Linked DNA regions of Xenopus tropicalis. The protein of the gene in region 2 interacts with the protein of the main gene of each other region in a biochemical or structural test. Links are inferred from orthologs where the notes say so. Each region holds a gene or a part of one and is shown on either strand. Other genes may lie near its edges.

What was found.
Region 1: the proteins of shq1 (region 2) and dkc1 are reported together in a solved structure, tested with the Homo sapiens proteins (2 studies listed by BioGRID, with this or other methods). The link is inferred for Xenopus tropicalis from reciprocal best matches to the Homo sapiens genes SHQ1 and DKC1.

The regions. Positions count from the first base shown.
Region 1 is NC_030684.2:38,922,974-38,926,625, reverse strand, and holds part of dkc1 (H/ACA ribonucleoprotein complex subunit DKC1), read right to left. Parts: intron 3,209-3,652; coding exon 3,144-3,208; intron 2,850-3,143; coding exon 2,723-2,849; intron 2,126-2,722; coding exon 1,995-2,125; intron 1,758-1,994; coding exon 1,614-1,757; intron 1,520-1,613; coding exon 1,399-1,519; intron 681-1,398; coding exon 562-680; intron 491-561; exon of another isoform or gene 412-490; intron 318-411; coding exon 214-317; intron 30-213; coding exon 1-29.
Region 2 is NC_030680.2:139,959,379-139,963,494, reverse strand, and holds the start of shq1 (protein SHQ1 homolog), read right to left. Parts: upstream 2,949-4,116; 5' UTR 2,782-2,948; intron 1,432-2,781; 5' UTR 1,424-1,431; coding exon 1,281-1,423; intron 1-1,280. UniProt on the Homo sapiens protein: Required for the quantitative accumulation of H/ACA ribonucleoproteins (RNPs), including telomerase, probably through the stabilization of DKC1, from the time of its synthesis until its association with NOP10, NHP2, and NAF1 at the nascent H/ACA RNA.

The sequences.
Region 1 (3,652 bases), on a different chromosome or scaffold from region 2:
CTGCTGCTTGCTGGATTTTTGGTGTAGCACTGCAAATGAAAGAAGAGTTAGAACAAAATACCCGAGCTTAATCAAAAAACGGTCAGCTCATTTCTAATACGGATTGCTGTAGCCTCAGAATATAGATTACACTTTCCTGGCTAATGGTATAAAGGAGTTTCTAAGATGAAAAAGCAAGGGAAGCCAGTGCAAAAGATAAGTAACAAGTCAAACCTGTAATCAACATATTCCTGCTTCCAACCTGAAGGTGTGCTCTCATTAGGTTTGCCATGCTTGTCTAACAAGCCTTTCTGAATCATCATCTTCTTCTGACTAGCCTGCAATGAACAAAAAAAAAAAAAACTTCAATAATGCAGCATTTTGAAAGGCAGCAGCTGGTGTGTCAAATAAATATTTAGAATAAAAAAAAAAAGCCATCAGTTATTGGGTGATAGATAGGAGTCAACATCACACATTGTGCTACTGACTTATCAAGATATCATCATGTGGCTTGCAAGAAGTACTACAGCTAAATACCAACCCCACCAGTTCTTGGCAATTAGAAGAGAATAGTCAACTTACTTTAGGACCAAGTCCCCATTTGCGTGGATAAGTATCCCTCTCCATAATGACACGTTTAATCTTTGCCACAACTCCATGATCACATGTAGATATCACTGCAGTTGTCATAAGGGCTACGGCTGAAGAGAGAAAGACAAGGTCAGCTGATTGTTTCACACTAGTAATTTGAAAGATATTTAAGGCAGTAGTGATCAGTAAGTTTTCTCTCGTCTTGCCCTTTGGCCACATCCCTTGCTCCCAACACACCTCTGCGTGAAGGTCACACTGCAGGACGCAGCATCACCAACACTAAGAGGGGAAGAGACTCACAGACAACATTAGGAGTCTGTGAGCTGCAATGGCTGGCTGCAGGCTCAGAGAATGGATAAACTGTGTCATCATTTCACAACAAGAGTTCAAGCCTCATTAACACTGCCTGATCAGATAAGCTAGTCTTCCTAGTCATGGGCAGTTATATGGAGAGAAATAGTAATCAGCCAAAGTGATATTTTGAAAGCTATACTTTGGTCACTGGGGCTGGTCAGGAATGAATAGTACTAAAGACAAGTCAAAAAAAAAAAAAAAAAAAAAATTATGGTAACACACTAAATCTAAATAGTGCATTAGGTTCAATGTGACATGTTTATATAAATAACCACTTCTTTAGAATGGCAAAAAGCCCTTCCCATTTCAGATATATCCTCATTTTAATATTTGTCAACATACACAAGCCAAACTAATTTGTGGCTCTACCAATATACAACTGCAAATCTTTGTAACCGACAATCTGAGCATAGAGTGGTTTTCAGTGTTACTGGCCCTAGTCAGTGACCACCATATAAAGTTCCAAAGACTTACCAATACAGATTGCTTCTCCTTTTGTAGTTATCACCACAATCTCTTGATTTAGTTCTATCCCATCCTCATATCTGAGCAGCCCCGGCAGCATGATTTTTGCACCGTAACAAATAGCATTGACCTTTTGAGAGAAAGCAGGTAATAAGACTTGTTCAGACCCCAGCTTTAGACTAAAGTTGCAACAGCAATTCTATATGCACAAAAAAGGTACTTACTGCACTATCCTTCATGACAAGTCTTTTGTGAGACACTAGAAGTTTCTCTAGTGGAAAGATGACTCTGCGTAAGTAACTTTCATCCTTATTGTTATCAAACTGCCACTGCGCGTCCAGAACATCATGCATTGTGACAAGGTTATCCTGTGAAACAGAGGCATTATATAGAGAAGCAATTTAGGAGTCATAGTTAGCTAGGATATTCATACTGAACTGTTGGCAACAGGATAGAGAGTCCTGTTACTCTTCATTTCCTGTAAGCTCATTAATGTTCCAAAGCTTATTACCAGTATGAGACAGACAACTCATACTGAACTCAACGCTTTTGGGTGCAGCAGGTGATGCCACCTAGAAAATTTTATCTATCGATATGGTACCTACCTTCTCTCCTAGGACACCAGAGCGAACACGACGTAGCTCCTGCATTTGACCTCCAACCCCCAGCAGCAAGCCAATGTGAACACACAGAGTCCGGATATATGTACCAGCCTCACAGCTTACCCAAAATATACCTAAAGAGCAGGAAGGGGGACAAAGGAATTAGTACCACATAAAAGGTTTGTTAGACTCTTTTATACATCAGAAGACCAACACCAACATACCCATCTAAAGCAGTAAAGCTGTTCCAATGAACATGAGCCCACCTTTCATTTGTTAAAGTGGCTTTGCTGCCTTTAAATAAAAAGATATCATCATCTGTTTATGCACAGGGCATGGTCTATTTTGTATTTAGACATCAGAGCAGTCATGTACCTTGCATTCTACATAGCCCAAGCATGTACATAAAGCTTTTGCAAGCATAAGCAATATTATAGCTCTTGACACCTTGAGCAATTCCACACCAGTATCAAAAGTATCCGTATCAGAGCAAAAATAGTGTTCATACATTCTAAAATTTCAATGGCCCACAACAGGTGCCTCAAATACAGACTGAACACAGTATATCTTCCCAGTACACCTCCAGAAGGCATTTCAACATCTCATTTTAAATTTAACAAACCATAATACACCTTATAAGCCATTACACCTTGTATTAACTGCTTAAACGCACATGAAATACCTACTTTTATAGCATTTAAAGTCTGAGGACAACCTGACCAGTAACTCACCTAGCCGACGTTCAGGGTCATATTCTATTAGTTTGCTCTCGTAGATTGTTCTTACACGCAACTGCCTCTTAACAGCAGCTATTAAAGGTGGACGCTGGAATAATGCACCAGTGAGTGTCTCCAAAGCCTGAGGACAGTAAGAATAAAAGTTGGCCGAGCATTAAACATAGGAAACTTGCATAGTGCACCTTTGCTAGGAGGCTGGTTTGTTTACTGATTTGCCACTAGCAAAAAGGAGACATAAGTTAACAGAAATCTATAGCCACCATCTTGCTTTAGATAAAGTAATGGGGAAAATTGATGTTCAAACTTGTCTTGTGCTCATGCTGCATTGATTGTGTGGCAAACATGAAATCTCATATATTGGGACATAATTTGGGAATAGGTCTGGCAGCCAATTTAAGGTAGACCATTACCTTACCCGTGAAAGTTGTAGTTCGTTCTCCAACGCATTGTGCAACCGTACAATTCCCACATACTCTTTCCCTAGAGGGGACAGAGCAAAATGGGGGCAGCCAGTTAATATGAACAGCAGAGGGCGAATGACACATGAATAGGTGTCAACGCAAAGTAAGATGCCATCTTCAGTCCCTACTAGTGACATTTTAAGAGTCACTACTTAATATCCCTTCATATTTATCTAATTTAGGTTTTTGGTCTCAAAAACTTCTATAAATGTCACCCTTAGTTTGCACTTCTAACCTGACTCTATACTGAAGCAGTTATATCAGTAAATGTGCCAATGGTTTATGTTTCAACTATACATCACATGTTCAGCCATTACCTACAGAAAAAATCAACCATAGTCCTGCTGTATTATTAAAAGCCAGGAGTATGAGTAAGTTTCTTCTAAAGTTTGCTTTCAGCAACAGTAGACCAATAAATACATCCTGCCTACTTGTTGAAATATACCAGAACTGGTAATTAAAA
Region 2 (4,116 bases):
TACTGAAGAACAAGTGCTGACACAATGCTTTTAAGAGATACAAGAGAAAGGCAGCATCTGCCCTGCAGAACTTGCGATCTTAGAAGTTTAATGAGTTACATACACAAGCTGAAGCAGAGGGATAGAACGGCATGTCCAGGAAGGTATGTCGAAAATATATAGAATAATTATGAGACTATAAGAATTAGTTTATATAGGGAATAATGTATCACCTATTGTAAAATATAAGATTATTATACCGATGTTCCATGACCAGGCACAAAGACCGAGTGTTGAGTGCTTTTCTACAGGTCACTAAACTATGAATTTATGATATCATCATATTTTACAGCAGGGACCAGGTCCAGACTGGAATTCAAAATAGGCCCTTGCATAAAAAGTACCCAGAGGCCCAAACAGCTCCCCACCAGCCCAAAGAAATAGTGACTGTCTATGGCATCTTAGAGCATCCAGAATCCAGAGATTGCCAGTCAAGGGCTGACAGGGGGTACATTTTTTTTTTTTTAATAAACATGTCATGTGACACAAATTACATCATTAAGCACCAATTATAACTGCATCACTAATAACAGCATCACTAAGCTCTGTTTAGTTGGATAAAGTTTACAGAAGAGTTGTGCCTCTTGTGTATTATATAGATCACTCCTTATATGAGGGTTCTGTGGTCCACTGGCTAATACTGTTTAAAATGTTTTGAAGAAGGAACAGCTTCAAATGGTAGTATCTTTCTTTTGCAAAACACATATAAAAAATATGGCCCATGGAACTCAGGGAAGGCTGGGAACCACATCAATAAACCCCATCAACTTTACGTAGCAAAAGCGTCCACCCTATAGCATAGCTTATGCCCCACAGAGAGATTAGTTGCCCATGATAAATCTATGCTACCGTGGGCGACTAATCACCCCATACTGATTGGCTGCACTGGGGGGGGGCATGCCGCCCTAGGCCCGGGGCTTTGTGGCCAACGTGTCGCTTCATTTTTCTGAAGTTGTACGAAGTTACTTCCTGCAGGCAACTTGGTGCAACCTTAAAAAAATGAAGTGATGCGTAGATCTTTCCACCAGCGATTCTCTTTGTTGCCGGTGGAATGGCTTTTTAGGGAGATTAGTTTCCCGTGGTAACAGGGATGTATAACGGGTGACTAATCGCCCTGTTGGACATTAGCCTAAGAGCAGGAAGAGGCCTATGAGTTCCATATTTGCCAGTCTCTTAAGCTGAAAGATCATAGATAAATGCCTGCAGTATAAACAAACCAAAGCATATGAAATATCCCTTACCTCAGGAAATATGGCTTGGCGTAGAATTTGAAGTCATCGCCTTCGATGTAAATATCAATTTCTGAAGCTCTGGCATACGGAACCTTGATAATTATTGTAAGAAAATCTGAATCTTGACTAATGTCAAATGCAGGGGTTATCATGATTTCCACTAGAACAGAAATGATGAAAGTTGCTCAATGTTTGATCCATAACCCAGACAACAAAACCACCAATAATCAAATTGAATGACCAATGTGTGGAAGAAGGATATGTGTATGGAGGAAAATAGAAGGTCTGCCAAACCAATATCAATGGTGCTGGCTATAAAATCCCATTGGGCAAGTATCACATTGGAGCTAGCCATCAAACCACTGCAGCTAATATTACTGGCATAACTAAAGGAGTTCCCTGTCTCCTACCCGACTGGGATATGTGGGATATGGAGGAAAATATAAGGTCTGCCAAACCAATATCAATGGTGCTGGCTATAAAATCCCATTGGGCAAGTATCACATTGGAGCTAGCCATCAAACCACTGCAGCTAATACTACTGGCATAACTCCTACCCGACTGGGATATGTGCACTAACTGTATTGTGCAAGCACCAATTAGGTATGACAGAGGATTGCCAAGGTAACATATCTAGTCATTTTAGTGTGTGTATAGAAGACTGATGGTAGCCAACCCTTTATTTTCCTCGCAGTTTAGTAACTGTAGACAATAGAGGAAATTGTTTTGTTCCATAAAAGGGGAAGTCAACCCTTATTGATCTTTCATTGGATTCCACCTTCCTGCATGTTATAGAGCCTGGGCAGAGGAAGGCCCAGAAGGTGAAGCTAATGGTGGGTAGTTCACTCCAGGAGTGAAAGACAGGCTTAGAGTATCTAGTGAGCAACATGAAGCTCCACCAAGGACAATAGAAGGGTTAAAGTCCTAGTTGTACCACCCTAAGGATAGGGGGAAAAAGTGTCCAGAACTAGTTTGCCTAGGTTCCACTTATAGGACCTCATACTGAGGATTGGACATTTCGGTGTTGACTAAATAAATGTTCAGTTATCGGCCCCTGATAGGGAAAAGCACTGGTTTTATTTGTGAGTATATGCTGAACACTGTAATGTATCATTTGTTTCCATTGTACAAGATATTCTTGCAAATAAAGGAAAAACACTGGCGCCTAATGTATTGATTCAGTCTGAGATGTACAGTTCTGCAACACCACAATGCAGAAAGGCCAATTCCCAGAATTCCACATGGTTTAGGTGTGTGCTAAACCAGTAGTTTTCTGGATCCCTCCACGTAACCATCACCTTACAATATATATATATATTATATATATATATATATATTTATCTCCAGTAACAGCTGGAAGGCCGCCGTATCCTCACATACATTACAGAGCCTTTCTACTAGTCACTGCCGGGGGAGATAGTCCCACAGCCATTAGCTAGCAGTAACCTTATGGGAGTAGTACCGCTCCACTACCAAGTTACACAAATCCCCAGTACAAAGCGCTGCCTCCCTCTCCTCACCTACGATCCGCGATTCTTCTTCAGCACGCTGGTGTCTTCCTAGTTCCGGGTCTACACGTGTTCCAAAAACAGCAGGAAAACGAGCGCTCCCATTGGTGCTGAGATTAAAGCGGGACCTCCCTTTGGCCAATCAAAATCCGCTATTGGCAGACTCGTTCTTGGCTTTGAAGCGGCGTAGAGAAAGGAATGTGGGGATTACGTCACTTTATTTGTGATTGGTCAGGAGTACGAAGGAGGCGGGAAGATGTGTTACCATGCTGATAAGCGCAGGATTGCAGCTTTTAGTGAGGGAGGCAGCAGCGGAACGCGTATGAATATTAGCAGATGCTTTGTGAGTTGCAGTTAAACAACAACAGCTGGTGTTTGGAGATTGTCAGCCAGGCACCTTAAGGTCATAGCTTGCTCGGTAAGTCACTGCACATTAGGTGTCCGTGACTTTTAGATTGAGTACATTGGGGCTATAAATGGGTCCCAAAATATAGTGAAATGTTCTCCTAAACAGTGTGGAACTGGTTAGGGGTTAAAAATCAATTTTACTGATTAATGTTGGGTCCCATAAGGAAGCAGTGTTGGGTCAGAGTACTAGGGGCCCTCCTGGGGTTGCCCCCTTACCCTTTTATAATTGGCCACATATTAAAACCATATTGCTAGTTATCAATTCATTTAGACGTATACTGCATGGCTGCACGTAAATCAGTTCAGTCTGCAGCATGCATCAGTTAATTGCTTCTTAGCTTTGCAGGATGTGGATTCAAGTTGTGGCCAGTATAAAAGGGGTAAGGCAGCAACCCCACCACCAGAGAACCTGACCTTAGGATCCATCCCACACACCTGAGCCTACACCTCTTCCCCTTGCAGTGCCACCCACCTGAGCCTACACCCCTTCCCCTTGCAGTGCCACCCACCTGAGCCTACACCCTTGCAGTGCCACCCACCTGAGCCTACAGCAGTGCCACCCACCTGAGCCTACACCCTGCTGCCTACACCACCTGAGCCTACACCCCTACCTTGCAGTACCCACCTGAGCCTACCCACCTGAGCCACACCAGTGCCCCTTGAGCCCACCTGAGCCACCCACCTGAGCCTACACCCTTGCAGTGCCTGAGCCTACACCCACCTGCAGTGCCACCACCTGAGCCTGCAGTGCCACCACCTGAGCCTACACCTAGTGCAACCTGAGCCTGCAGTGCCACACACCTGAGCCTGCAGCCTACTTGCAGCCCAGTGCCAGAGCCTAGTGCAGTGCCATGTAATAAAAGTGCAAAGTTTGCCCAGGCTTGTTAAACAGACAACCAGTTTCTGATGTGTTCACCAGTAAATGCAAC